2 linked regions of the Danio rerio genome follow. The protein of the gene in region 1 binds, or shares a complex with, the protein of each later gene. Links are inferred from orthologs where the notes say so. Each region holds a gene or a part of one and is shown on either strand. Other genes may lie near its edges.

Region 1 (15,619 bases):
ATCAGGAGATTCAGTCTTTAGTGTTTTGAGATCGTTATGAAGTTACAGACATGCAAATAACACGGCTATACTGAAACAACAGGTTATAGTTTAGATAAAACCACTTATGTTTATGCTAAAGATTAAAATCACCGTCATTTTCATTAAACTTGACGCTTAAATTAATATTGAAGGCAGCAGTTACATTAGCCCCTTTCACACATACAGACCTTTCCGGAAAATTACCGGCAATTTTCCGTAAGGTGTGTATGTGTGAACAGGCCCTTTTTGAAAATACCGGTAAATTCCTTCTGGCTATTTTCCGGAAAGAGAAGTTGTAACATTACCGGTAATTTGCCGGAATGCTGCGCTGTAGGAAGATTGCCGGAAAGATGTCCACGTCTAGAACGTGCTGACATGAGACGTCTACTTTAGCCAATCAGAACAGTCAGACGCATTCACGTCTGCACAGTTTATGAGAATAAAAGCCTTTGAATATTTTTCCAGACACATTTAGCTGCTAGATCTTAGTCGGATAACGTTTATATGTTCATCTTAATGCCAACTGTGTAAATAATCAGCGATAAGATGTTTATGATAATCCATTGTTTGTTTACCTTCAAGCTTTGCGCATGCCCGTGAGCGCCCATAGCGCCAGCACACATGCATATCATGAACATCTCGACATGCGAAAGTGTTCCTCCAGATGTTTTCATTGGAGTTGTACTCAATACTGATCCATCCAAAGAGTTTGTAATGTAGTCAAATGTTTACAAACACAAGCTGTGTGAACGCTCTTTTTCCGGAAAAATTCCGTAAAGTCCTCGCCTGAGTGAACAGCGCTTTTTTGAATTTACCGGTAAAGTCGTTCCGGAAATTTTCTGGATATTTACTGGTATCTCTGTGTGAAAGGAGCTACTGTTTAACCAATAGTTGGCAACAACCAGCCGTCAAAAATGCGCCACTGAATAATTCTTCAGAAATGATCATCTAGCAATGAAACATGACGTTTAATGAGTGAATAACTCAATCATTTATTGAGGATGAGGCTTAAAAATAAATATGGATTGTACAAATTAAATTAGATTTCTACATTTAGGGTTATCAGCAGCAGTAGGAGTAACGGTGAATTTGTCTACTGAATATTTTACAATTTATTTTTATTCAGCTGATTATTTCTTCATGTTATTTTTATTTAAATGACAGGTGTTAAGTTCTGCTTGTTAAAACCAAAAGTGTCTTGCAGTGCTGATTTTACAGTATTATTTACATTTATTATAGTATATTATTTAAATTACATTTTTTGTCTCCCCCCTCTTCTGAAAAATGGTCCGAGCCGTGACTAATATACCATAATGTGATCCGAACATAGAGATTTGTGATCCGTTACACCTCGAATGTTAACTCGAACTCATTGAAATATGCCTGCAGTGCTACAGAATCCTGTGTATTTGTTTCTTTTGCTAGTCCAGATATAGTTGATGTATTATGGCTACAAATGAGACCAACATAGTGATATCTTACATTTCATTCATGATCACCTTAAAAAGTCTTCAGTTTGACCGTATGAAACCTGCAGAAAGTCTTACTATAAACCTCTGTGGTGTTAAAACAAAATAGTTTAGTCCTTTTTGCGTCGTAAAAAGATGCTTAAATCCTGGATGTTTTTCTCCCACCATTGTGTTTCACAAAATATTGTTTCTGTCTTTGCTTTGGGCTATTTTCTTCAGCCTCCAACCCCAAATCTGGAGGAGGATCTTAAAGAAGTGCTGCGCAGTGAAGCAGGAATCGAGCTGATCGTAGAAGATGAAGCTCCCGCTGAGAAGAAACGCAAACAAGTGGTGAGAGATCTGACAGGGAAAGAGAATAGCTCCATTTCCAGTCATAGTGGATCATTAATACGTCTATTACTGATGGAGGTTAAGACCAGAAATTCTGATAACTTCTTTTATTTTTAAAAGTTATTCATTTGTCTTTACCTAATAAAAAGTGCATCTTTTAACTCCAGTCTTGTGAAGAAACAAATTAGGACACTATAAAAGCCTGAGGGTTAAGGTGTCCAAATTTTTCCTTGCATTTTTGTAGAATTACCAGGGTTTCTGCAGAGTCTTAAAATGTCTTAAATCTCAAAATCTAAATTTTAGGCCTTAAAAAGTCTTAAAATTACTCAAATATTGTGTTGTAGGTCCTAAATCTTTTTTAAACGGGTCTTAATTTTCCTTTGTTCATGCATTGTTACCAAATCTGGTCAAAACCCATACAGTAATCAACAATCATCTCAATAAAACTTTAAACTTTTAAACTTATTCTAGTTTTTAAAACATTTGTTCATTTTTATTTTATTTTAAAGGAAGTTTATGTTGTAAAAAGTGTATGGATACGACTAGAGCTTGCTTGTTTTTACACAATGTTTTAAATATTTTGCTAAAAAAATGTATTTTAAAACGTTATTATTAATGTATTATTGTATTATTAAATTTATTAAATTATAATATTTTTGATCTGGCAAATAACAATCTTTTCCATCTGGGCCATGTAGAAAATTATTGAACCTTTAGCCATTTATGGGCTAAAATTTCATTCATAATGGTCCTAAACTGTCTTAAAGTCTTAAATTTAACTCTGTGTAACCTGCTGAAACCCAGAATTACATTAACAGAAGATCTTAAAGTCTGATTAAACAATCTGATTAACTGAAGATCTTTAGTTTTAATTGTTTAGTTATATTACCTTAACCTGTCTGTATTTTTACAATTGAGATTAAATAAATAAAATAAACCTTAAAATACTTTTCCCAAAAAAATTTTAATTAATGCACCCATTTAATATTAAAATCATTTAAAAGTGTTTTTTTTTTTTTAATAAAAAAAAAAAACATATTAGCATATGCAAAATATGAGTTTACATATGTACTGAGAGAATGAGGAAAATGGGTCTAAATGATATGCAATGTGGTGCAGATTCTGGTATTTTACATGCACTAAAGGTTCTCATATTGCTTGTAAATCAACAATATCTTTATAACTTTGTAGCCGACTAATAAAAATGAACAAATGTATCTTCCCAAGCCTCTAAACATCTCTAATCATTTGAGGAAGATGATCAAAGCGCTGAGGAACAGAGAAGGTAAAGGTTCTGGAAAGAAAACAACTTATCATGTGATACTCATGATATTGCTGAACTTTCAAAGTTGTCTAAAGTGTTTCTTAAGTATTATATATTAATAATTCAGTAAGCCTCTGTTGCTTTAGTCTTTATATACTATTATTTTTCGGGGTTTATACCTTTATTCGATAGAACAGTAGAGAGTATTAACAGGAAAGCATAGGGAGCAAAGAAAGGGGAAGGATCTGCATAGGACCACGAGGATGAATTGAACTCGCGTCGCCGTGAGCACCGGAGTGCATGTGTCGACGCACTAACCACTACACCACTGGCGCCGACATCTTGAATTATTTTCATCAAAATCAAACCAATTATTGAGATTACTTTATAAAAATCAGTAAAGATCTGACAGCAAAGAGACATTTAAACCCTGATCTGCATGCATCAGATTGTGTGTCCGGTTTAACCTTTGATTACATTCATATCAAGTGCAGCCTTAAGTGATTAAATGTTGATGTATTCAATGATTATCCTATTTCATTTTGTAGCTGGATTTGCAGTGAAAGCAATCTGAGCTGCTGATATGGAGTAAACCTAATAAATTCTCGTTTTGTTGCTGGTTTGCTGTTATATTGAATGATCTGTGTCTTCTTCAACAGTATCGGCCTCCTATGAAGAAAGTGCGTAAGTCTTTGGCTCTGGATGTCATCGACTGCAGTGAAAGTGTTGCTGCACGAAAGCAGCAGATTAAAGCCACAGTCAAACCCAGTCAGAAGGTACAGAAAACCACACTGGTGTTGCGTTTATCCTGGCCCTCTCTTCAGATGTAAAGTGTTATTGAAAGAGTTTCTGTATTCACAGCCTCAGACGGTGCAGCCGGAGCCTCCGGTGTCCTCATGTGCTGTGAAGGAGGAGAATGTTCTGGATCAAGGCTTTATTCTGGGTCCTAATGAAAGTGGACCTGCCTCTAAACCAGTGCTGGCAACACCCAAAACTATCTCTCCACTGCCTGTAAGTAGCTGTAGATCACACTCTGCTCATGTTACGCATACAGGACATCATTTCAGGCATGTGCTGATCTCAAACATGCACACCGGCTCTGATCAAGGAGGTGTACTTTGTTTGGAAAAGGGTAGTTACACGGCTCCACCTCGTGTACTGGGTTATTTCTGTTTGAAAACGTTGTCCAATGTCAGATATTTCTGAGTATTTTAGATGATATGAGGTACTCCTAAAAGACTAAACATGGCTCATTTAATTGTTTTGTTTTCTGCTGGTTTATAACATCAGAAACTGAAACCAGTTGTTGTTTTTTTTCTAACTGGATTATTTATATTACTTTGGTTGTTGTCAGCAAATACAGAATAAGCTCAACATATTCTAATCAATTAATTAAGAAATTAGGCAATTAATTTAACTTGTAATGCCTACTTTTGTATTTTTTGTAAAACTTTTCCATTTTTATGTGTATTTTTCTGTATATATTATAGAAAAATAGGGTGGAATTTGAAAATGCACATGGGAAATTTGTCATTAAATAAAACCAATGTGTTAATTGAGCTCATGTTAATAAACTTTAATTGGAAAAACATTTTACTAAGTAAAATCTGAAAAATGAATGTGCTTATTAGGTTTTCAGATGCGTTTTCTTCAGTCCAATTGTAAGTAAAAAAAATAATGCATTTAAGTTAAAGGTGCCTTTCTTGGCACTTCAGGTCTTCATACATCATGTCAATAAATATAAATAATAAAAAGCACTGTAGAAAGAGACTTGAAAAGGCAGCTATGAGGAAAATCATTTTTTGTAAGCCTTTTAGACAGAACTGTGTGCAGGTATAGTGTTTCCACAGTCAAACTGGAGTGATGTAAAGACAATAAGTCTTACTCTTTTAACTTCCTAATGTTATAATAGCATCCAAATCCTGCAAGTTTGAAGCCGACTGCAACATGACATAGCACTGCGGTTTCCCCCACCCATGAATTGATTGACAGCTGCATGTGAACATGTCTCCATAGTAACGCGTACAATCATATCCATATAAGAGGATGTGCGCAAAACAACTGGGATTAAAAGATCTGTTCTGCTCTTTTATGACAATTTGCATCTCGAGAATGAGTTTTACAAGTTTAAAATGCTTTTAAAGTCGTGCATATTTGTAATAAAGTAAAGACTGTGTTTCGCTGTAGTTCATCGTCATAGCCGCATGTCTGTACATTTATAAAAGAAGACGTTTCAGTCCCGGTTTGTGGACTTAAATCAGGTTTATTTTGTACATCAACAGTGGATATTAATGTGTATCCTGTCACATTTAATGTGCAAAGCTGTGCGTGCGTGTACGTTTGTGTGTGTGACTCATCATTGCAGAAATAATAAACTCCACAACAAATGCCTCCAATAACCATTAGAAAAGTTCTTACTGTAGTAAGGCAGATCTGCTTCATTTGTGTCTGTCACTGTGCTGTTTATCTACATGAGACGCAGCAGGTGAAGGCTACATCCATCAGAGCAATACAGAGAGATCTCTGGCTCTGACACATGTGGGAACAGTGGGCGGGGAGAACCAGCTCATTTGCATTAAAGGCACGGGCAACAAAAACATCTAAAGTGTCCTAACAGCTCAAATTTCCCAGATTCAGAAAGCTATAATAAATAAACTGATGGGTGTTTTAAGCTAAAACTTTACAGACACATTCTAGAGACACGAAAGACTTTAATTAAATCTTGAAAAGGGGGTAAAGTAGGTGCCTTTGCCAAAAACTGCTAATGTTTTGTTATAAATTAATTAAATGTGCTGTTTTGTCTGCAGCAGAAAATAGTTGAGAATATTTTCATTAACTTAAAGAAAAGCAACTTAAAAAAAAAAATTATAGAACAAAAAAAAGTCTTAATTATCTAATAATTTTCTCTTCTGACAGATGTCTGCGGCGTGGGAAACTGTTGTCTGCGGACGGACGAAAGATCAGCTCTTCATGACGGAGAAAGCCAGACGATACCTTCGCTCTTTAAAATCTCACACCCCAAACCGAGCCCTCATCCTGTCCTGAGCCACGTTTTATTTACAAAACATAATGCGTGTATGGAGGAGGAAAACCAATTGTAAATGTTGTGTAGAATATGAACCCAATTACTGTTCCAGAATAGACACTTTACTGCTGATGATGCTCTCGTCCTGTTTCCTGTGGCGCATCAGCGCATTCAAACACCCTGTATAGAGAAGTGCTGAGATTTTCTCTTATTTATCTACTGTCTACAAGCTCCTGACATGCCAGCAAACATGTATTCTGCTCAAGAGTTCGTAATCAGGTTTCTGTTTTTATAATTGAACTCGGATTGTGTAAGACTCAGCATGGGATGTAAACAGGAAAAGGCTGACTGTTTTCCTGGGCTTTGTAAACCTGGTCATGCTCTTCTGCAAATATTAGAGTTTGTAAAACAGCCTGTTGGGCCTCACATGGGATGTTTTGAGGACTTAAAAGGACAGTTCACCCCAAAGAAATGAAAATGTGGTCATCATCGACTTGTTTCAAACTTGTTTAAGCATCTTTGTTCTGTTAAACACTAAATATTATATATTTTTTAAATGTTGGAAACCTGTAACCATTGACTTCCATTGTATTTGTATTATTCCTTCTCTGAAAGTCAATGGTTACCGGTTTTCAGCATGCATTAAACACATATTAGTGTTTAAGAGAATAAAGACACTCATAAATATGAATCTGGTAAATGATTTGTATTTTTAGAGATGACGTTTCTCTTTAATTGATAATGTACAGAAGCTGTTACTTTAATTTCTTTAAGTAGAAATGCTATAAAAGATGGATAGATGTCTGTTGTCTTAATGGCAACACTGGAAATGAGCACATTACCTTATAGCAGGGCTGTCCAAACTCGGCCTGGAGGGCCGGTGTCCTGCTGAGTATAGCTCCAACTTGCTTTAACACACCTGTTAGGAAGTTTCTTGTACAGGGATGTCAAACTCCATTCCTGGAGCGCTGCAGCCCTGCACAGTTTTGGTTCCAACCCTAATTAAACACACCTAATCAAACTAATTGAGTCCTTCAGAGTTGTTTGAAACCTACAGGTAAGTGTGTTGGAGCACGGTTGGAACTAAACTGAACTGCGCCCCTCCAGGAACTGAGTTTGACATCCCTCTTCTAGTATATCAAGTAAGACGGGTGTCCAAAGTTGGTCCTGTAGGGCCAGTGTCCTGCTGACTTTAGCTTCAACTTGCTTCAACACACCTGCCTGGAAGTTTCTAGTATACCTAGTAAGAGCTTGATGAGCTGCTTCAGGTGTGTTTGACTATGGTTGGAGCTAAACTCTCCAGGACACCAGCCCTCCAGGACTAAGTTTGGACACCCTTGCCTTATAGCCCTGCTGAAAAAATCAGCTTAAACTAACCTAGGCTGGCTTTAGTTGTTCGACCAGCCTGATTTTAGAGGGGTTCCAGCTATTTCCAGCCTGCTTTTAGCGCGTCAGGCTGGGAGATGACCAGCTTAAACCAGCTTGACCAGCCTAGACACGCTGGAAGCCCAGACAAAATCAGCTACGTCCAGCTTAAAGCAGGCTGATCAAGCTGGGTTTAGCTGGTGATTTTACAGCCTGACCAGCTAAGACCAGGGTGAAAATGACCATACCCCCTCTAAAACCAGGCTGGACTAGTTTAAGCTGTTTGTTTCAGCACGTGTAAGTCACAGAGACGTCTACTTGTTGTGTGTGTTTACATCTGGAAGACGTCTCATGTAGACGTTAAGTAGATGTGTAGAGAATGTCTTTAAGATGTTGATGATTCATAATGTTTGTTAAATAGACCTTTTAATGACCTTTACCAGATATTTGTACACATCAGATGATGAACAGACCAAACAATCTTTAAAATATGACTTGCAGTTGAATATGTGCTATCTGGCTCAAACTAATGTCCAAATATCAGGAAAGAAAATAGCTGATGAACTTCGTAAACAGAAATGGGAACAGTTGTATGTAGTTTTCATAATATAACTGTTCAGAGATCAGTCAGGATCAGTGCTCAACATGTTTTCACCATGCTTGCGTACATTTCCATGCTAACAGATTTGCTCCTGTTGTATTATCATTGTTCAGCTTGGGAATACTTCATTAAGATTCATGTTTTGTTCTTTGTGCTTTGTCTGTTTGCTTATTCTGACATTTCTACTGTCCACCAGTGGAGAATCAATGCTGTAAAATAAACCCTGCTTATCATTCACACGTCTCCTCACTAGAGCCAGCTCATGAGTCAGATGTTAAAGGGGTTAGTTCATCCAAAAATTGTAAGACATTTGTGCTGCCCATTATATTACAAACCACAGGAGAGGGACAATTCTCCAGCAGGATAGCACTCCTCATACTTCAGCCTCCACATTAAAGCTCCTGAAAGCAGAGAAGGTCAAGCTGCTCCATTATTGGCCAGACCAGTCACCAGATATGAACATTATTAAGCATGTCTGGGGTAAAATGAAGGAGATGTTGAAGATGAACACAAAGAGTCTTGATGAGCTCTGGGAGTCCTGCAGGAAGGCTTTCTTTGCCATTCCAGATGACTTTATTAATCAGTCATGTCAGAGATGTATGGATGCAGTCCTCCAAGCTCATGATGGAGTCAGACACAATATTCATTCTGTCTCCACTGCAGCAGGACTTTATATTCTATACTGGACATTATTTCTGTTCAGTGATGAGACTTTAGTCTGAGCAAAGTCAGACCTTACTGTCCTAATCAAATCATTAATAATCAAGGCATGATCAGATTTTATTGTGCTCAATTAAGCAAATCTAGAGGCCTTTGCCTTTCATATAAGCCACTTCTGATACCAAATGATCAACTAGAAGTCAAGTTATTATGTGTTGTTCCTAAAACTTAGATAGGCGACAACACCTTTGTCAGGGAGGCTAGTTTTTAAAATCAACTTCACATAGCCTATCATGTTACAGGAGGGGTTTTCATAACATTACCTGGCAACCCAAAGTGTTAAGAACTCGCCCAGGCTAGTTTTTAAGCGTATTGAAGCCTAAAACTGTACGCTTATGATTGTTTACTAAAATTTTAATTCTTAATAGTGTATGATAGATGCCTTTTGATACAATAATTCACATTTATTTATAATCTGTCGATGTGTGCGTGTTAAAATCCACAGTTCCCTCGTGAAAACAGAGATTAGCTTTCATTTTCGCTTCAGTGTCAGTTTCTCAGGTAAAACACTGACAGCTCGCATTTATCGGTGAGTAAAATTAACAAGTAGCCTAGTTTTGTCCTTCTGACAGTAATATTATTTCCCTTTTCAGTAATATTGTGATGTTATGTTTGTGTCGACTGATATTACAGCTCCAACACTTGTTAAAGAGGGCTTCACTTGAACGTCGACAGACATTGACGCCTGCAGTGAGTAAAACACAAGTAAATAATGATAATAAATGTTCAGTGTAATATGAAATGACTTGTCTAAATGTTTTCCCACATCATTATACGACGCTAAAACTAAACCAAACGAGTTGAACGCTACTACTACAACAGCAATGGCTTTAATTTATGGATTTTGTTGTTTGTTTGCTTCATTTCTATGTACTGAAGGCCAAAGTTTTCTCCAGTTGTGTTTGTTGCTCAGTCTCAGACATGGCAGAGGGATTCAGGTCAATGGAGATGGGCGAATATGTGAGTAATTTTCAACACAACACGTTTGTTTTTGTGAATTGTGGGGACATTACATTGTTTTTGTACTGTACGAACTGTATTTCACATCAACTATATCCTACTATATTTGACTATCTTCTTTTAATACCCATGTCATACAGATTTGTGTCCTGATGTCACAAAACAGACCCTTGAATCATGATTCTTCCGATGTCATGTAAATCAAAGATGTATTTGTCAATTGGTTTATTGTATTATTTCATCAGAAAAATAAGATAAAAAAGTTTCCAATTGATTGCATAATGTAGTTTTTACCCACACAGAGAATAGTAGTATAGTATTGGCTATAGTGTTTTTGAAATATTATGTATATTCACAACACACACTGTTAGTGAATGATTAAGCATACTGTGGTAAACTTTAGTTTTTACAATAGTAAACTGGTGTATTGTTGTATACTTACAGAAATCTACTAATTAGTTTATCTTACTATATATATATATATATATATATCATCGTAATTGCATCACATGACTTAAGCAATCCATCTGAAAACACTGTAGTTTCACATGTACAGTATATGCTACATTCAAAGGTATATTATAAGTAAAACTAAATTTTTTTAGAATCTAATTGAAATTGTTTATAAATCTGTTTATTTTATTATTGTTTCCCTAAATTGCAGGACTTATATACAGCAGGTGATGAAGACTCGAGGTCCAGTTTGTCAGACTGGAAGCATCTAAACCTTATTATGGATCGGCCAAGCTTACTGCTAGAGGAGGTATGAGCTGAAGAGTATAAATAAGCCACACATTTAATATCAGTCATACAAACAGAAGCCAAAAAAAAAGTTCATTTTCATTTTAGGTTTATTTACAAGTTTTATAGCGTGCATCTAACTGTTATTCGCAATATATTGCATTTTTCCCTTGAAAGTGAGCAGGGATTCTTTTGGATACGCAATATAAACAGTTATGCATACATTATAATGCAGTAAGAATATTATTGTTGATAATAAATAGGATTATTTATTATGTTAAACAACATAAGGGTCATTAACAGGAGATTATGCAGGCATCTATATGTAGATTTGGCCACTAGAGGGTGTGTGTTCACAACAAACAAAGGCATGGTTTGATGTATTTGCTTACTTGCGAGGGCGGAGACTTAGTGGTTAGCACTGTCGCCTCACAGCAAGAAGGTCACTGATTCGAGTATCGAGTTTGCATGTGCTCCCTGTGTGGGCGTGGGTTTCCTTCGGGTGCTTCGGTTTCCCCCACAGTCCAAACACATGCGCTATAAGGGAATTAATTGAACTATTTTGGCCGTAGTGTATGTGTGTGTGTGAATTAGAGAGTATATGGGTGTTTTCCAGTACTGGGTTGCAGCTGAAATAGTTGGCGGTTCATTCCGCTGTGGCGATAAGGTAATAATGCTTACTTAAATCAACACTTTTCCCACAACAGGATCTTTATACTGCTGGTAATGAAAGACCCAAACCTTCAGCACCACTGGATATCGGTAAATTAATGATCAAAGTGGACTGGACTGAAGCATTTCCAGACAGATGGAGAGCAAGATTACAGATCGCCCTTCAGTCGTGGTTGTCAAAACTAGAAGAAAATGCAACGGTCCACACTATTAAGCTCATGGATGATCCGTCATTTGCAGAAGTGCAGATAACTCCATCAACAGGTGACGGTGATTCACTTCAGTCAATTCAGTCTATGCTGACATTATCTTCAGCAGCTCAAACACTCTAATGGCTGATGGACAGACGGCTGCTTCTCACTCAGGGCTGCTGTTTATGCTAATGAGGGAGAGATGCGCACTAGTGGGCGGGGCTTTCCCCCTCTGATGACATCATACAAAGGGAGAATGTCAATCAAAGTGTTCCTGCAGACTGCTCTGATCAAGTCTGATTATAAACAATAGATTTAATTCATGTTTACCATTAGAAGCTGGATATATTCACACACTGCTCACACACAGCTGTGTTTAAACCTCTTATACAAGTGTTTTTTGCAAAATAGCTCCCCTTTAAACAAACTGCACTTGGTTTCATCTTGTTTAGACATTGGAAATTGTATTTTGTTTCTTGCTTCAGTTGTTTACATGTATTAATGTCATAGGGCTCTCCATTACATAACCTCTCTATACTTCTCTACAGCTCTAGAAGCTTTAAAGAAGCTGAAGTTTATACCTTTGAGGTTTAAAAATGAAAACAGGGAAGTGACTGCGTGGATCTGTCCTGATGGAGCAACTTATGTGAATGTACCACACAAGTCCTTGCTGGAGGGGAACAGAGCTACTTTACTAGAGGTATCATGTTAATTTTGTGAGTAATTATGACAAAGTGCATATTAATTTAGTTAATTAAATTCATTAAATTAAAGTTGGACAGCAGGCGATGCGGTTGCACAGTGGTTGGATATTCGCCTCACAGCAAGAAGGTTGCTGGTTCGAGCCTCGGCTGGGTCCACAAGTCTAAAGACATGCAGGACAGGTGAATTGGGTAGGCTAAATTGTCTGTAGTGTATGAGTGTAAATGAGTGTGTGTGAATGTTTCCCAGTGAGGGGTTGCAGCTGGAAGGGCATCCGCTGTGTAAAACGTGCTGGATAAGTTGGCGGTTCATTCAGCTGTGGCGACTTTGGGTTATAAAGGGACTAAGCCGAAAAGAAAATGAATGAATGATTGAGTTTGACAGCATGGTAGCTCAGTGGTTAGCACTGAGGCCTCACAGCAAGAAGGTCGCTGGTTCAAGTCCCGGCTGGGTCAGTTGGCATTTCTGTGTGGAGTTTGCATGTTCTCCCCGTGTTGGCGTGGGTTTCCTCTCGGTGCTCCGGTTTCCTCCACAGTCCAAACACATGCACGATAGGGGAATTGATCAACTACATTGGCCATAGTGTATGAGTGTATATAGGTGTTTCCCAGTACTGGGTTGCAGCTGGAAGGGCATTCACTGGGTAAAACATATGCTGGCGGTTGGTGGTTCATTCCGCTGTGGCAACCTCTGAAATAGAGAAGGAATTGCCGAGGGAATTGATGAATGAATGAGTTTGACAGCAAAGCCTGTTCATAACCAAAGAAAGCTCCTGAACTACTACACTAGCAATGAAATTAAGGAAAATAAACTAGAACTAGATGAACACAAGAGTAATCGAGAGCCTAAACAAGACTCCGGTGAACAGTATAGGATCAAGCAGAGCCTGATATGCAACTTCAGCCTAATTTGGATGGTAATTGTGTCTCATGGGGACATCTGCAAAAGAAAAGTCGACACATTCTCAGTAACAGTTTTATTTATTCACTTATAAAGTTTGCATGTATTTCCTAATGCAGGACATTTATACAGCTTGTGATGAAAAACCTCCAGCATCACTGGATTTTGGGAGATTTAAAATCAAAGTGGACTGGGCTGAAGCATTTCCAGACAGATGGAGAGCAAGGTTACAGATCGCCCTGCAGATCTGGTTGTCCAAACTGGAAGAAGCACCAGTTATTCACAGCGTTAAACTCATGGAGGATCCGACGTGTGCAGAAGTGCAGATAACTCCAGCAACATGTGAGTCACTTTAATACATTTTAGCTGAAATCTTGAGAATCTTGCCTCACAGCAAGAATGTCACTGGTTCAAGTCCTTACCAAGCCAGTTGATGTTTCTGTGCAGAGTTTACATGTTCTCTCCGTGCATGGATGGTTTTCCCCGGGTTCCCCGGTTTCCTCCCAACATCTAAAGACATGCAACATAAGTGAATTGACTAAACCAAATTGGCACTATAGATGAGCTCAGTCAGCAGTATATCTCTCCATAGCAATCCCTAATTTGTCATTAGCATTAATAATCAGGGGAGTTCTCGAGATCTATCTGAGCTCAAACTCCCTAAACGGGAGGGAGCTCCGGGCTCGAGGATCTTCTGAGCTCAAGGCTGTCTCCCGGGACAGCATGCCAAACACGCTTTATAATCAATCATCAGCTAAGTGTGAACTCTTGAAACCTGTTTTAATTTTTTTCTCCTGAACACAAATGAAGATAGTGTGAAAAATGTTGGAAACCGGTAACCATTGACTTCCATAGTATGATAGTCGATGGTTTTTAGCATTCTTAAAAATATCTTCTTTTGTGTTCAGCAGAAAAAGGAACCACTTGATGTTAAGTAGTGAGTACATTTTCAGTTTTGAGTGAACTGTCCCTTTAAGACCAGTAAAACATCATTAAAACAGTTCAGTTTTATTTGTCTGGTCATTTCTTGTGCATATGCATTAATGTATACTTTTAAACATGTGCATTAATGTACTCCTGTTTCTCCGTAGCTCTAGAGGTTTTGAAAAACCACACAGCTACACCTTTAAAGTTTAAATATTATGAGGAAGGTAAACAAAGGAAAGTGACGGCACGGATTTACCTGGATGAACCACATGCCTTCCTGCCAGAGAAGATCAAAGCTCCATCACAACAGGTGTTTACTTTGTGTATAATTAAGTCTAAGGCACAATTAATCTAATAAGTTAATTCATCAGTTTTTTTAGGTATTTATTTTTGAGAGATTTACTAAGCATATACATAGAAGTTTCCTTCATTTTTTTACAGTAGTAGCAATAGTAGCAGCCATAATCATAACAACAAAGATAGTAACAAACATGCAAAAAAAAAAAAAAAAGAAAAGAAAAAGAAATCAGTGTGGGGCAAACAGTTCTTCACACCTTGCTTGCTTTCTTTAAATGTTTTTTTTTTCCTCCAATCTTGGTTGCTTACAACACACTCATGCCACTGTAGTTTTATAACAAACCCTTTAGTACCTTACTGTTGTGCCAAGTACCCTTACGAAAGTACCTCTCAGTGGAAATGTCAATAGAAGTTTTGGTAAAACTGTCAGAAACAACAATACATAACCAAAGAAAACAGCATCTGAGTATCTTTTAAGCTCTTTGCAGACAAATCTTTGACTTGTAGGTTGTAACCCTAAAAAATATTCCATCAAATGTTTTAGGTGAACAGTGAAGCAGAAGATGCAAACAATGATGCTTTAAATGGAAACACTAAAACTGCTGAAGCGACTTTATTCACTCTTCCACTCTATCAGTACTGGTCCATGCATAATGCTTACAGAAAGGAGTTGGACCTCATTGAGAAAAACCTCGATGTCTCTATTGAAGCAGAGGTGTCGGTCTCAATCAAACCTACCAAGAGCTGTAAATCACTGTCTAAAGCATCTGAGGACTTTCAGAACCTAGTTCAGCAAAGTGTGGGTAATTACAGTGATGCTGCTGTTAATCATAATGACATGGATTCAGACATTATGAAGGAGATCCTGCGTACCATTCAATTAGAGGAGCCAAAGATGATGTTCACCAAGTCTGCTGGTAATTGCCAGATCCTTGGACCAACTAAATTTGCAGATATGACTAAAAGAGAGGTCGGTACAACAAGAGTGGAAAACAAAATCAATGACAGATCATTCTCAATGGATGTAGACAGCAAGGCTTTTCCACAAAGCAGACCTTCATTGGACATGAACACAAAAGATCTTCCAACTCAACTTGAGATGGACGAGGTTCACTGGGATCTGATGAAGCTTTCATTTGAGGAACAACTATCAGATCTTAAAGCCAAATATGGGGTGTCATTTACTGCAGATCTTCATCAGGGGAATGTAGTTAAGGTTCAGGCTCGATCTAAAGGTGATCAGCATGTGAATCTCGAAGGTCACGCGGTCAGAGCTTTAACAAATCTCTACCAGAAACTGGCGTCAGCAGCAGTGAGCTGTGAACTCAGAAAGCCTGCAGATCAAACTGATGTGAGATCAGCGGTGGAGAAGCTTCAGCAGCGTTATTGTGTTGTAGCAGCAGAGAGATTGAGCCGCTGGACACTCACTGGACT
Region 2 (16,316 bases), on another chromosome or scaffold:
AAAATAAAATAAAAGGCTATGTACCTAACTGATTTAATGAGGGGGGAACTACAAACCTTTGATGCATTGTGAATGACTTAGTCATATGTAAAACAATAGAGAAATATCAAAATAGTTATTAAAATCTGTTGGTTGTCTATAGAAACAATTTTATTTGATTTTATTTGACTTTTATATGATTTTAGTTCTATAACTATTATTATTATTTTATGTGTTTTAACTTTATTATTATTATATATGTTTTTTGCATTCATGCATGTATCTTTTACTGCTGCACATTTTTTGTCTGTAAAGTGCCTTGAGATGCTACTTTTAAAGATGCTATATGTAAAAATAAAGTTTATTATTATTGTTATTATTACAATACATTCCAAGCTTATTGTTAAATACACGCACGTTTAATGTAAGTGAAAACGTACAGTTAATTTGCTCATCCTCAGACTTGAGACCACAGATTTAGATAAAAATCTTCATTAATGTTCTACTTAAGACAAAAAATCACTTACATGTTGCATGGTGTATAAATTCACTGAAAAATTGTCATTTTGGGGTGAACTATCCTTTCGATTGTGCTTCACTGGAGTGTGTGGAGCTAAAGATTTCTTTCACATCTGTGTAATGTTCTGTATAGAAACATGAGTAATGTCATGTTCTGCAATAACTCTACTATTAAATGATGGATTTATAAATGAGTAGATTGAAGCAACTAAAAACATAAACACACAAACAACCTCTGAGCTTACAACTGGTCTGTCTTTTAAGGTTTGTCAGTTATAGGTTTAAATTAAATGCAGAAAATAAATGTTTTGTTTATTGAACATTCAATTCATGTTTATTTCTATCGTGCTTTTACAATGTAAATTGTGTCAAAGCAGCTTAACATAGAAGTTCTAGTAAATTAAAACTGCCTCAGTTCAGTTTTCACAGGTGAAGTTCAGTTTAGTTTATTTCAGTGTTTTGTAAACATGACTGCTGCCCTCTGTACTATCACAATTGCATCTTTCATTCATACTTTGATCTTAATCAATTGTTTACAAGGAGCATCACACATTTCCGTAATTCTGAGTTTTGGTTTCAGAATGGAAGTGGTGACGTGAATGACCTGTGGCAGGTGGAGGTGTGTGGAGGAAGGAAGGGAGATCCAGTGAAGGTGCTGCGCAGTAAAGTGCGTTTTCTTCATCGCGCCACAGGCTGTGTGCTCTGCTCCTCTGGAAAGACCCTTCCCAAATGGTGAGATTATTTTGTTCAGCCAAAACCTCACAGCCGGTCTGCAATAAACATATCACAGAAAATACTGTGCATTTTACTACTCAACAGGGGATGGGAGCAAGTGGAGGTCACATGCAGCCCGTATGTCAAAGAGACCCCAAATTCGCAGTGGAACATTGAGGACCACATCAACCCTAAACGTATGCCTGTATAGCTTTTTTTTTAATATTGATTTAATGGGTAGAAAATTACAGTTTTGTTCATTTGCTGGTGTGGTGATTTTTCTGTGTGCACAGTGCCCAACATCAGTCTTGCAGTACTCAAACCCACTTTCCTGGAGATCCTCTGGGAGTCTCATATTGTGATGATCAGGGTAAGACTCTTGAAAGAAAATCTGCCTGTTAAAAATTGCTCTTCATGTGGGAATTGCTTCTAATTAAAGATAATCTCCCTATTAATAAATGTTCTACCACATGGGAATGATTTCTGAATTAAATGACAGTATTTTCCAGAATATAAGTTGATTAAAAGTCTTTAAACTGAAATGCACTGCTTTAATTCCAAAGTGATTTCTATAATGCAGTTAAGATCAAGAATGAGCAAAGCGCCACATATATGGGCTACTTTGTTTTATGCTTGCATTTCTCTTCTTCTGTTGCCTTTACAGTTTAATTTAGAGTAATGTAATGTGTGTTTATATAGCACATTTATTGTGTATGGCCATACACCTAAAGCGCTTTACAATCATGTGAGGGGATCTCTCCTCATCACCACTTTTTGTTGTGGAGTGTGGGAAACTAAAATCCCTATACTAAAACATTTACCCATTTACATTTTTTTTTTTTTTTTTGTGAATAAAAATGATCAAATGCAACTTCTTTTAAATGAACCAATATATTAGATTGATAATGTTTTTGTGTAGGGAAACAGTGGTTTGAAGCCCAAAGACAACGAGATGAACTCTAAACCCTGGCACTGGCCCATTAACTATCAGGTAAGTTGTGTATAAGCATTTTTAAATTATTATTATTGATGTACTAAAATTGATATAATTAATCAATATTGTGATTTTTCTTTTTTTAAAGTGTTATTGTATTTATAAACGAGGGCTGCAGCTATCGATTATATTAATAATCGATTTATCAAACACATTTTTTTATTTACTTTGAACATCTTGTGACTGAAATGGTTTTAAAAAGTCTATAAAAGCCAATCACAAATACACACACACACACACACTTATTGCAATAAACTTTATTCCAGGAAACTTTTTTCAGAAATATTATCATGCATTAACGATAAAAATCTTTTTAAATTTATGTAATCATTTGTTTGTTGTTTTTAATTGTATATTTATTACTGAAATGTTCTTGCCATGAAAATAGCGTTTGTTGCTGAGATGTCGTTAAATAACAAATTCATCTTCATAAACTTAACATGGGAAAGCTTTGTTGCTGCCTGAAGTGGTGTTAGTGAGTCCAGCAGGGGGCGCCCAACCTGCAGTCTGTGTGGCTCCTATACCCCAGTATAGTGACAGGGACTCTATTGACCTTATTCTAAAATGCGAAAGTGCTCCTGTTTTCGCGATTGTCTTAAAACTTCCAATTCAGTCGCCTATGGGAGAAATGACTAGGAATAATAAACGGCAGAAAACGGTCAAACTACTTGCTCTACAAACAAATGCTTGCATGGCTATACAGACCAAGTAGAATAATATAATAAGAAAATATCAAATTGCAACATCAAGCAGCGTAATGAGCAGTTTTTAACGTCAAAAAATGAATGGAGGTGAATGAGACCGGAAGTCTCAAGCCAAAAAGATTCAAATGGCAGCGCCCACTCGTCGGCGGAGAATAAGGTGAATACTGCTCAGTGAGTGCCGTCTTTCGCATGAGACGTTAAACCAAAAATCCCAGGATGTCCTTCGATAAAGAGGTTTAACCCCGGCATCCTGGGGTTAATCCTCAGGATTATATTATATTATTAATTATATTTAGCAAATCAAATAAATGTTAAACAGACAGGAAGTGAAGCGTTACTTTTTTTAACGAAGCGTTGATTACTGCAATTTGTGTCAATAATTTTTTTGATTATAAGTTTCAGCCCTATGATAAACCGTTACAATATTACAACATTTATTAATATTAATAATGATCTTTAATCAGTTTAAGTTTATTGTTAAAAATATTATTGTGCTTTTGTCATTTTAGGTAGATTTTGTTTTATGTTTTAGTCATTTAATACTTTTTAATTTTACCTAGCCACCTAAACAAAAACATATCTCATTTACACACGCACCCACACACACAGACAAAATCTCATATTTATCTCATATCTCTGTACCATTACATCACTATTTATTATTCACAACAGGGATTGAGGTTTTCTGGAGTGAATGAAACTGAATACCGTGTTTATCTCCTTGGAAACCCTGTAAGTGTCTCTGTCCTTTTTTTGTCCTCCATTTTCCAAGACCTCTTATTCCATCATTAGTAAATATCCCATCACATCCTCAGGTCATTTGGTGGCTGAACCTGTTAAGTCTGGCTCTATTTGTAATCCTGCTGACGGTGGCTTCATTAGCAGTGCAGAGAAGAGTGAAGATGGAGGGAATGATGAAAGGTAAGCAGCAATGCAGATGTTTGTGCTGTTTACAGTAAATGATCAGGTCTAAAAGAGTTGATGTTTTGTTTCAGTGCATTGTCACACACTTATGGAGGGTGGCGGGATGCTGTTTTTGGGTTGGCTGTTACACTATCTCCCATTCTACATCATGGGTCGCATACTCTACTACCATCATTACTTTCCTGCCATGATGTTCAGCAGTATGCTAACAGGTACAAAAGCTAACATGATGACTAACACACCACATTATCAACTGGTGGAAATCTGATGAGATTCTTATCACACTGACATCTTACCTGTGCACTGAAAATTCATAATTAAGTAGCTTTACTAAAAAATTACTAGTGGATTTGTAGAGACGTCAGCTTACTTTTCTAAAGACTTATTTTTATGAAACCTTTTTTTTTTACTTCTAGTTTATTATGGAGGTGAAAAGTTGTATTAATTAGTGTGCCAGCCCAGTTAAGTTTTAGACATTATCTTTTTATGTATTGTATAATATTGTCTCTAGTGATTTGTCTCTCAAAAAAGGACTGTTTCTGTCCTTCTTCCTGGACAGACCTACAAAGGCTGTAATAAATTTGCATAATGTTAATCAGTAGTCCTCACTGGCTGCCCACAAATTATGTATGTTTTGACCCTGCTGTAGTTGTAGCTGAGGCTCGGAAGGCTTGGTTTGTGTTGTGGAAGTTTTAAGAAGACACTGTTTTCTGCACTCTGAAAGCAAATACAGTTTACAGTTCCAATAAATTGAATTGGGTTCGTATGTTCACGTTAAAACAGCTATCATAACATTATCAATTTGATAACCCTTTGGATTCTCGGAAGCTATGGAAATTAAAAATGTAAAACAGGAAATACATTAGGACCATTGTTATTGTTTACATCCCTCAAAATGGTCTATATACACAATCACAACAGAGACTGGGCTGACCAATGAAAGCAGAGCCTGCCCTTGTTTAATATATTGTAAGAAACAATATGGACAATACGAATAGGATTAAAAGTGTGCTTTAACTCTCTCTCTCTAAATACTACTACTACTACTACTACTACTACTACTACTACTACTAATAATAATAATAATAATAATAATAATAATAATAATAATAATAATATTAATATGAATAAATTAAAATTATTGTTGTAGTTTTTTCCTGGCATCAACAACAAAGCCACATATGAATCCATTTTTAAACTTAGTTTGCAACTTGAGACTTAATCATTACACAGAATTATACTACAGGTCTTAATAAGATCTTAAAAAGGTTTAATGTGTCTTCTGCAAATTAAGGCCTTAATTTAAAGACATGGATTTTTTTTTTTTTTTTGAGAAATAAAACATACTTGAAAGACTTTATGCTTATATTGTCTTTTTGTAATCATAAATTGACTTCACTAATGAATACCTCAGAAAACAAGACTTCTCATGTGCTCTTTTTGCCTTGATCTTGATGTAAGAATTTGGCATTTTTCATTTAAAAACATTAGAAAAAAACATTAGAAAAAGCATCATATTTAACAAAAGGTACTCTGAAAGATATTCTATAGTTTGTTATTGTAAAGTTTAAAAGCACTGTAAATCAGCCTTTTTAAACACTGAAATTCTGCTTATTAATATAAATTACGTCCATTTTACTTTTCGAATATTGTGTTTGCTCTAATTACCTCCTTTTATGTTCTTTAGTTGCTCTTAAAATTACTTTCAGAATACAGTTAACAGTTTTTATCTGGATTTCTAATAATTTATCTAACAATATATAAAGTGTACTGTGGTCTTGCTGTGTTTTTATTTCAAACTGTGAGTCTGCAGCATTGCTGAACATATTTTTCAGGTTATTACATGTAATGCATATTATTATAACGCGTAATCCAATACATGTAATCATGTTTAATCTAATAACGAATAATCTAAATATAAAGTTTAAACCTTCTTTATTTAAGGTATTACTCTGGACATCCTCCTTCAGAATTTGCAGCTTCTCTTTAGCTCATCTTTATCTCATTACCTGATGAGGGGAGGTCAGTCGGTGCTCCTCTTAGGGTTTATCTACAGGTGAGTATCTACAAGTTTAGTTGTTTAAGAGGCTCATGTCTTTCAGAATATGTAACTAATTACAAAGTAAGTCCTATTTTATACATTATTAATATTGATACTTAACCTGATATTTCCGCTGTCGTCTGTTTTCAGCTTTTATCTTTTCCACCCTCTCTCCTATGGCATGAGAGGGCCGCTGGCACATGACTCTGCCTCCTCCATGGCCGGCCTCAGGTGGATGGAATCCTGGGAGTTTTAGACAAACGTTTTAAGTGTTTTCATAAAATGTTTTCAAAACTATTTCATTTGTTACATGTTGACATTTCCGTGTTGAAGGACAGCATTTAGTCTGATTTTAGGCTGTTGAAAATTTTTAAATAGTATTTTTGTATTGTATAAAATTACGATATTTTACAGTCATGTATTTTACATAAAAATCTGATGTTGTGCAACTGCTGTAGCTGGACTGAAATAAATTTATTAAAAAAACATTGAAGTGCCTTTCTAGTTTTGAAGATGCTGATGTATAAAGCATTAACCTTTTTGTTTGTATTTAAATCATTTCAGTTTGAGAATGTTTAATAGCATTTCTGTTTTAAAACTGTAATGTAATGAGCAGTCTTTCCTGAAAAGTTCAGTTGAGTTCGTGTTTGAATTGTTGATAAAAAAATTGTTTGCAATATTGTCTTTAAATTATTGTCTTAAATGCAAATTGTAAACAGACTGACTCAGGTGCATTTATTTGGATTTAGGTTGTGTTGCATTTGATACCAACACATTTTCTGGCTCAATTGACTGAAAATATATATGTTTTTCATTAATCACCAACATTGTAAGAGCTCTGTATTTATACTTGAATTTTACTTATTTAATTTTACTAATTATTTTATTTTTCCAAGTATAATAAAGTGACCTTCTGTCTTTTAGAGACATGATCTGTACAGAGGTGTTGATAGTTATTTCTTCAACCAGTTTTACAATACCATCCCTTTTTTAATGTCTTTTAAATGGGCCTTTTCGTATAATGCTATGTACAAAGCATTTGAAAATGGGTTGATCAAAGTAATAATGCTACAGTGAATGAATGATGTTTCTTTAGTGTTTTAAAATAAATAAAATGAACACTCTGTTAAAAATATTGATATGATACGTTAAAATGTGCTGAAACTAGACTTGTTTATGTTTACCAATAATTTTTATTTTTGGTCTATTTATAATTACTGCCTTTTTTGTAGCTGTACAGAAGTTTGTTCTGCTGTGTTTTTTGGCCTGACTGAGTCTTGAGTCTTATATTATATTAACACTATCATAATACTACTCAAGTACTCTGTATGAAAGCTAAACATATTAATGTTCGCATATTATTCATATATATTTTTACTTATTTTGCAAGAAAGAACGTTATCAAAGACACAGTTTAAACAAATAGACAGAAATGAATTCATAATTAAAATTCCAGCAAATTAAACAAGTTTAAATGATTTACACCAAGAAAGTGTTTTACATGCAATATAACTGTTAGGGTCTTTTAAAGAGTTCACATATAAAGTAATTTCTTAAAATAAAAAAGTAGGGTGTTTCTTTGAAAATTTACATTTATCGATGTAAATTTTAGGGGGGGGGAAACAATTAATTACAAATTTACAAGAATTCAGAAAGTATCTAAAGAATATAATTTTTTGTGGGAAATACAAAAGTTTGGAAATAATACAATTTTTGTGAAATTGGAAAAGTCAACCCAAATGACTTTACAATAAGTGCACTCCCAAAATAGGCCAAAAAGATTTAGTGTTTCACCATATTGAGTACAAAATGAGCATTTGAAGGAAATATTGTTATTAAATTTACCTAGTTTGTTGTTTATTGGGTAGCAATTATGAATGATTCTGATTGAGACTTCAACAGCTTTATTAGATAAAAATATGTATTTTTTCCGAATACCATCCAAGATCAATATCAAGAAAAGGCCATTAAAGACCATTAAAGAGATCAGAGAACTGTTAACAATAAAGAGAATCACTTTGTTTGACATAGAACTGAGAAGAGTTTGGTCAACAAAAAGGTTTGTGCTGTCAATAATATTTATATTCATATTTTTCAGTCAATTATTGCGACATCATTTTACAACATAAGAGGGTGTGGCTATTTTATCCAAGACCTCCAGTGATTGGCTGCTTAGAATCACGTGTGTTGTTGTCAAGATGGCGTCTCCGAATGGAGGTAAATTTTAATTCCTCTTTTCCCTGGCAGCGTTAGTTGTTAACGCAATAGTGCAACGGACTAATTAAGTCATATAAATCATTATGCGGTTTAGCATATTTTTTATAAAGAACTGATGGATTCTGAATCAAAATAAGCTTTTCAGTCGGAATAGCGTCATAAAATTGTTTGGAGCCAGTCATTAGCAAAGCTACGTGTCAGACGACATCAGTTGTGTAGTAATAATTTAATACGAATGTAATAGTGTAGTAAATACGCGAAGACATATTACTTTTGGTGTGTCGTGATTTTATCTTTAACGTTAGTTATGTAACTCATTATTTTGTGACAAGATTACTCAATGCAGCTAGCTCAGCTTTGAGTAACTTAGCAGCTGAGTAAACATAATATCTCTGTCATAACATCAGCTTAATTTTACACCTTGAATAATATGTGACAGAAGATTTTTTTTTGTAACGTCATCTAAGCTGAGTTATGTTAAAATTGAAATTGTGTATATTTAACATTTTTTATTGTACTTCAGGTTTATTGATCCTGTTGCTGATGAGTTTTCTCTGACCATAGAGCATTTATCTTTTTAATGTGTAGGTGAGGACTTTGAATCTTCTCTGATAAGTTTAGAAAATCTTGACCGGGCTTCACCTGACCTGTGGCCAGAGCAGTGTAAGTTTGACTCTCTAATCTTATTCAGTTGGACTAATATTTATGACACATTAACATATTTTTCCAAATATATGTAAAAAAAAATGCACTGATTGAAATATAGAAATTACATTTGATTATTACACATTGTCATATTTTTGAACGCTTTGTTTTTAACAGTGCCGGGTGTGTCAGAATTTGCAGCATCCTTTAAAAATGTGAGTAAATATTCAAATGATAATGAATACTTTTCAAAGTTGATGTGAAATTAAGGCTTGGTTTTTGTTATTTCAGCCTATTACAAATTCTCCACCCAAATGGATGGCTGAACTGGAGTCAGAGGATATTGAAATGTTGAAAGGTCTGCCTTTTTTAAAGTAGTATTCATATCAAGTCTTTTAATGTATCATTTAGTCTTTTATCTATGCTTTCTATATATTGCTTAGTAGAATAGGTTAATAATAGTTAGATGAGTTGCTTGGTGAATTCCAGGGTGTCCGCGCGGTCTTAAAAAGTCGTAAAATGTCTTAAACCTCAAAATTACATTTTTATGTCTTAAATTTACTGAAATATTGTGTTGTAGTTCCTAAATGTTAAATTAAATTTTTTTTAAATTAGGTCTTAATTTTCCTTTGTTTATGTATCGCTACGCAGTCTGGCCATTAGTCCTATACGATCACCAACAATTCATCTCAATAAAACCTTTTATATAAAAAGGTGATTTTTAACTCTGTTTACCATAACAGTTTTATTATTTTCCTCAAAATACATAATATTTGTTAAAAAGTGTTCCATGTATTTGCTGCTGAGGACACCGACCTGGACAGATTGTTTTGCATAGATTTAGTTATATTAAAACTTTAAAAACATTAATTCATTTTTTATTGTAAAGAAAGTTTATGTTGGAAAAATAAAGTGTATGTATACAAGTAGAGCTTGTTTGTTTTTAAACAATATTTGAATATTTTTATAAAAAATATCTAAAATATTTATTTTTTTATTATTAAATTATAATTGTATTATTAATATATAATCGTTTTTTGATGGGGCAAATGAAAAATCTTTTCCATCTGGGCCATATGAAAAATTCCTTAGCGATTAGTCCTTTATGAGTCTAAAATTTCATTCATAAGGGTCTTGAAAATGTCTTGAAGTCTTAAATTTAACTTTGTGAAACCTGCAGAAACCCTGGAATTTATAAAAGCTACAGTATAATATTTTGTTTCGGTTCTGGTCCATTTTTATTTTATTTTTTGTAACTTGTTTGTTGTGGCTTTTTTTTTTTTAGAATTAGGAAGTTTGACCACAGCAAATTTGATGGAAAAGGTGAAGGGTCTGCAGAATCTGGCTTACCAGTTGGGCTTGGAGGAGTGTAAGTAATGTCTTACTCAACTCAGAAATAGTGCATTAGTTCACACTGTTTATCTAGTTACGGTATATTGTAAGTCATCCACTAGATGGCGATATTAGAAAAAGAATAAAACTTACTGACAAACACAAACCCAGCTTTTAATACATAAAGACATTTTTCATGTTTTTTGCCGCTGTGATATTTAGGATAGAGTTAAAAAGACAATACAACAAATAATTCATTATATGTAGTCTGGAGCCTAAATCCATCTGAATCCTTGTGTGGAAAAAACACTTATTTGTTATGTTCTATTCGTTTATTTCAGTCTGTAAGTCTCAAATGAATTCCCACTCTATATTTAAACAGAACTGGCTTGTTGCCCAGTGTCTCTGTAATATTATATCACAGAATTGCTAGATGTAGCATTAATCCACGCAGGCAGGATTACAGGAAAGATAAGTGTTTCAGTTATTTTCTAGATGAAAATGGGCATCGAAACATCGCACAATTTGAAAGCGAGTACTGCAGACCATTGGTGAACACTCGTTTCAGATGTATTACATTCCTTCTGCTGATTTGACCTTTGTGTGGCATGTCCCTCAGAAAGCCCTCAACAAACTATGCTTCAATGAGAAAAATCAGTCAAATGCTTTTCTGTCTACTTGATTTTTACTCTACTATTTTGAATAATTTCCATAATGTTACAGAGAGAGGATAAAAAAAGCATCAGTTAATTTAAATAATTCAAAGATATGCATTTATATTGATTTAAAATTAAGCACATGAACCATTTTATTTGATAAAACTCTTACATGCACAACTGTTTCAATAACGTTAGTAGTTTTTAGATTTAGATTCATTCAGATTAACATTTTAATCTCCTCAAGCACTTGTAATATTACTATATTTGTGAATATGAAATTCACAAACTTAATAAAATGTATGATGAAACCGGTATCAATTGAATAATGGTTCTTATCATGGTAAACTGAGATCACATTATTATATTACTTCTCTTATAATTTCTTAGTTGTAAATATTACCTTTTTATTACTCAGCAGATATTTAAGGGACAGTATACGTTACATTTAATTTTTTTAGTTTCATATATGAGTAGCTTGAGTTTCTATATCCATCATGTCATATCTACAGCATTGTATCTGGGTTTAATAAGCCACATTTGGATGAAGCTTCCATGCTGCCTTTTATGCATACATTAATACAGTGTGTAATTATACATTTAGTCTGCTTGCATTTAATATCATTGCAAACCCACTTCAATCAAACTAGGTGTAATAAGTCAATCTAGATGTCTCCACCTCTAGTCATTGTGTCCTCTGCTTGTTGCTTGTTTAAATGCTCTCTAGGAAGGTAACACAATGCAAAATATTTGTTCATCTTAACATGAGTAAGAAAATGAATTTCACACAATGTTAAGCAATTCACAGTGCGTACATATTATACAGTGGGGAAAATAAGTATTGAATCTGTCACCAGAAAGCATATTTCTAAAGGTGTCAATGATGTTGGTAACAACCAAATAAATCCATACATGCAAATAAAACAAATCTAATTAGTTTACAAATTGAGTTATGTGTAATAAATTGAAATGACACTGGAAACAATATTGAACACATGAAGAAAGGAAGCCATAGAAAGGTAATGAAAGCCCAGACTGCAACTGAAATCTTTCATAAGTCATTCAGCAACCCTCTACCCTTTGTCAGTCTAAATTAATACTCGCTGCTTCAGTCCAACATCTACATTAGCAGGGTGATGAAGATAAAACCAGGGTGGACATTTTAGCAAGACAATGATTCAAAACACAGCCAAGGAAACTCTCAAATGCTTTAAAAGAAAATCAAACTGTAGAAGGGCCCAGCCAGTCACCTGACTTGAATCCAATAAAAATACAAAATAAAGCTCAGATTTGATAGAAGAAACCCACAGAATCATCAAGGTTTTTACAGGCTGTTGAAGTCTATGAAACCTAAGCAATTCATGTGACTTCATTCTCCACATGAGAGTTGTCTTTAAGCTGCCATCACCAAAAAAGCCTTTTATATAAAGTATTAAATATGTTTCAGTAGTTCAGTACTTTCTCCTTATGTTATTTCATTGTTATTACATAATTACAACTATTTTCTCAGATTTCTTTTGTTTTGTTTTATTTTTATGTTTGCATTGTTTGTTTTTTTTTTTAAATATTTCAATTCCATGTCAACAGCTCTTTTGGAAGTATGTATTCAATACTTATTTTTCCCACTGTTTAATCGCTACATCTGTTCTTTAGTGTATTTATAACATTTGTTTCTTGTATCACTGGTTACTTTAGTCTCTGCTCAAACCTGGTGCTGTAATGGGAAACGTATACCAGTAAAGTGATGAGAGGTCGCTTCGTGAGTTCACCGCTGACGTGTAAAATGAAAGAGTGCAGGATTAAAGTAGAGTTGTTCATCCACGATCATGCCAAACATAATTTATCACCGCTCTATGCTATTAATAGAGGATATTTAGCCGGATGAACTCCACACGTTTTGTATAAAACCAAATGTTCATGTTCTATAACTTGATATGACAATAATGTAAAGAACAGCTTGTCCTTTAGTGAAGGAAAAAAACTGACTGTCAGTAAAATGTGATGGAATTTACTTTAATTGGTAACATTCAGAAAGAGAAAAATTTTCTATATATTTTATATATGTTGCACTCATTGAAATGTTCATTTTCCATAAATTAATAAGCAGTACTTTTTTCATAGTTCATAATTATATAAACTTAAACAAAATTAGCATATTCAAAAGGATGGCATGACACTCGAGAACAGGACTGGGACTGCTTTGTCATTACAAAAATTAATAATATTTTAATTTATATGAAGAAAATGTAATTTATATGAAAACCATTTTTGACCATCCTTTCAGCCAATTAGCAGTAAGAAGCGTGTTTAACAACGATAGCAGAGATATCAAGAGGCAAGGTCTTGTTAGGTCAGCATCTTTTGTCAAATGTCTCTTAGTGCACCTTTTATATACAAAGCTATTATTTTAAATAATAAAAAAAAAATATATTTTTTTGCTAATTTTAATAATTGGTGAACAATCTTGTCAATGTTAAAATAATATTGTACATCACAGTGTTTATTTGTGCACTCTTATATGCTTCTTTTATTTTTTAAGTTGGACCATACTTTGCTTTGTTCATGGTGTCTGTTCAACATGCCATTGTTTCAACAATCTTATAGAGAGTCAAAATTATGTCTATCAAAAGCTGCATTACCTTTTGGCCAGAGATCTATCTGACCCTGAGGAGAACTACCCTGTCAGGTTTACTCTAGCATGATCCAAACACATTCAATTGACTTCAGGTCAATTTGTAGTCAAGTCATGTGTGACGATGGGATTCTTCTTTCGACACAGTTGTTTAAGAAAAAAAACAGCCATTCATTAATGAACAGTCAATTTTGGGTTAACTAAATTATAATGTCATATCAAAAACATATCAGATAAAATTTTAACAACAAAGATACATTTATAGACTAATTAAAAAAATGTAATGTGTGTATTTATATAGCATTATTTATATATTTATATATATTTATATATTTATATTAGGAGGGTCTCTTCACACCTACACCAAAATTAAAAGTTTCTTTGGATATACCGGATTTATTAGGTTTTGATTTTAGCAAAATGTCAATATTCATTTTGGTATAAAATAAATCTGGTATAAATGTATTTTTTATTTATTGCCATGTCAGCAACCAAGGCTATTTTCATAGCAAGAACATTTCAATAATGAATATACAATTTTAAAAACAACAAACAAATGAATACATAAATTAAATAAGTTTTTAGTGTTAATATGTGGTAACAATTCTTCATTTTTTCCTGGTTAAAAATGTCCTTAAAAGAGTTCATTTCATTTTAAAAAGTCTACTGGAATCATTAATACCAAGACAGTCCAGTAAAATGTGTTTTACAGTAAGGGGAGTTGTGCAGTACAAACGAGTGAGGTCTTCATCTTTAACCTCCTAGGGCTTAGTGGCCACTTACTTGGACAGCACATTTTAGATCTTAAGTGGCCATTTAAAATATTTTGAATGTTTTATATTTTGTTACAGACATACAGAGTCATCCTGCAACTGTTTTACAGCATATGAAATCTCCCAAACACCACTTTTCACTGTCCAAAGAGGGCAAAAAATGTTGTTTTTAACTCTCTGAAAGTCAAAACATGTTCAAAAAAGATATATATGTTATATATGCATTAAAAAACAGTCAGGAAGAAGTGTTTTATGTAAATTCGCACCACGAGTCCACGTATATGTACATCTTTTTTCTCTTAAAATACATTATTTTAAAAGATGATACTTAGGTTTTATTCTAATTAGGTTCCAATAAGCCCAATTAGCAAAGAGAAATAAAAAAAATGCATGTAAAAAAACACCTTGGGCCTTAAGAGGTTAAGTAAAAAGGCATGGATTAAACTTGTACATTGAAATAGGACATCTGGTAAAAAACACTTTATCAAATAGTCTTAAAATGTCTTAAAATTCTGTTTGAGATTTCATACAATTTATAATTTTCTAATACGACCCACTCCTCTTGCCATATTTAAAATGTAAACGTTGATAAAAGGTCTCATCTCTAAAGTAGCAATATTAAGGTCTAGTATGGTTTCTGAAAAAATTTTAAATAATAATTTTAATAATTTAGATTTTCAGTGTTCTGCAGTCAGTTTTTGAAAATATTGATTTCTAAACATCAGAGTTAAAACATATTTTGGGCCCTATCATACACCCGGCGCAGTGTGGCGCAAGACGCGGCGCAAAAGTCTTTTGGTAGTTTCAGTTTGGCGCAAGAGTGGTTTTGAGACGTTGCACTACGCTGTTTAAATAGCAAATACATTAGCGCTCATTTGTGCGCCAATAGGCGTTCTGGTCTAAAAAGGAAGGCGTTCTGAGGCGGACCGCTGGCGCGTTGCTATTTTGAGAAACTATAATAGATTTTTCATTAGACCAAAACTAACCCGGTCTAAACTCCGGGTTATTCATATAAATAGTGCATTAAGAGAAACAAGCTATATGCTCTTATGACTTTTTATTTTACGGTATACCTAAGAAAAGACTTTAAATACACAATATGGTCACTGAGAAAATGACTCTAATAATCTACAAATAGAGAAAGCGTAAGAGTCAACTTGGTTCACGTGTCACTTTAATAACCAATCACATTACAGACATAATGTCCATTGACTTTCTGTCAGTTTGTGAAGACCATAGAAAATGCCAAGACGTTTGTGCTGTAGGATGTGTGGTGGATCCTAACTGGCAATATTGTCCCAGACTGTAACTGCATTTTCATTCAGTTGTCCAGTTGATGGAGTTAATCATCTGAAGTCTTTGATTTATGTCTGAACTTCATTAAAATGTTGCCGCAGCTGAAGATAGTCCAGCACAGACTAAAACATTTACTGTTTGTTTATGTGTGCACAGTCACCTTTTGTGAGTATTATTTATACATCTTAAGGATTGTTCAATTGGTCTTGCATTAGTTCGGTGTGTAAATTAATTGAATCTATGCACCCTAGTATAAATATTTACTTTATTGGTGCATAATTTGTTCATATTTTTAGACTTGTGACTTATTATACAGACTTTTTTTCTGGTGTAAAATTTAAAATTAAGGTAATCCAAAACTATAGTTAAAGGGCAAGTGTTTCAAAAGTTAGCCAGTATGCTGTTGATTCCTAAAACAATAACTTTCCTTCTCCTCACAAAAACAGCATTGTTTCTTTTTCAGCATATTTATTTTTTCGTTTTCATTTCGGCTGAGTCTTTTCATTAATCCGGGGTTGCCACAGCCGAATAAACCGCCAACTTATCCAGCACTTTTTTTTTAACGCAGCAAATGCCCTTCCAGCCGCAACCCATCTCTGGGAATTTTTTAATGTAGCTTAACATAGCTCTAGTAAAAGTGAAACTGTGTCATCTCTTCTATTGACGTCCATTCGTATCTTGTCTTCTAAACTGATGCAGCCAGAGCATTATATTTACCTTTTACTCTTTTCTTTTGGCTAAAACTTGCAGGCTTGCCTTTGTTATTGCACATTTGTACCCATATAGACCCCTTTGTATGCATTTTCAGAATACTTCAAGATGCATCACATGGCTGTACTCTATTCTTGCATAAATTCATTATATTACAAAATGACATGATTGCGTCATTG

Evidence for each region.
Region 2: the proteins of mybl2b (region 1) and lin52 are in contact, whole or in part, in a crystal structure (PDB 6C48), measured with the Homo sapiens proteins. The link is inferred for Danio rerio from reciprocal best matches to the Homo sapiens genes MYBL2 and LIN52. Residues at the interface, in NP_002457.1 of Homo sapiens: Trp663, Val666, Ala667, Gly669, Thr671, Asp673, Gln674, Phe676, Lys680, Ala681, Gln683, Leu684; in NP_001019845.2 of Homo sapiens: Gln84, Ala87, Tyr88, Gly91, Leu92, Glu94, Ser95, Met98, Thr99, Lys102, Phe103, Leu107, Glu108, Lys109.

The regions. Positions count from the first base shown.
Region 1 is NC_133186.1:1,646,472-1,662,090, forward strand, and holds the end of mybl2b (v-myb avian myeloblastosis viral oncogene homolog-like 2b), read left to right. Parts: intron 1-1,709; coding exon 1,710-1,820; intron 1,821-3,743; coding exon 3,744-3,860; intron 3,861-3,945; coding exon 3,946-4,095; intron 4,096-6,000; coding exon 6,001-6,129; 3' UTR 6,130-8,312; downstream 8,313-15,619. Other genes in the region: uncharacterized protein dtex3lb.1, read left to right, coding at 9,717-9,755, 10,420-10,518, 11,204-11,432, 11,908-12,059, 13,081-13,303, 14,053-14,198, 14,730-15,619. UniProt on the Homo sapiens protein: Transcription factor involved in the regulation of cell survival, proliferation, and differentiation. Transactivates the expression of the CLU gene.
Region 2 is NC_133192.1:33,270,986-33,287,301, reverse strand, and holds the start of lin52 (protein lin-52 homolog), read left to right. Parts: upstream 1-8,061; 5' UTR 8,062-8,073; coding exon 8,074-8,092; intron 8,093-8,680; coding exon 8,681-8,755; intron 8,756-8,914; coding exon 8,915-8,952; intron 8,953-9,028; coding exon 9,029-9,095; intron 9,096-10,022; coding exon 10,023-10,106; intron 10,107-16,316. Other genes in the region: pomt2 (protein O-mannosyl-transferase 2), read left to right, coding at 1,079-1,230, 1,318-1,409, 1,506-1,582, 2,132-2,203, 3,583-3,642, 3,726-3,831, 3,906-4,046, 5,779-5,890 and 1 more.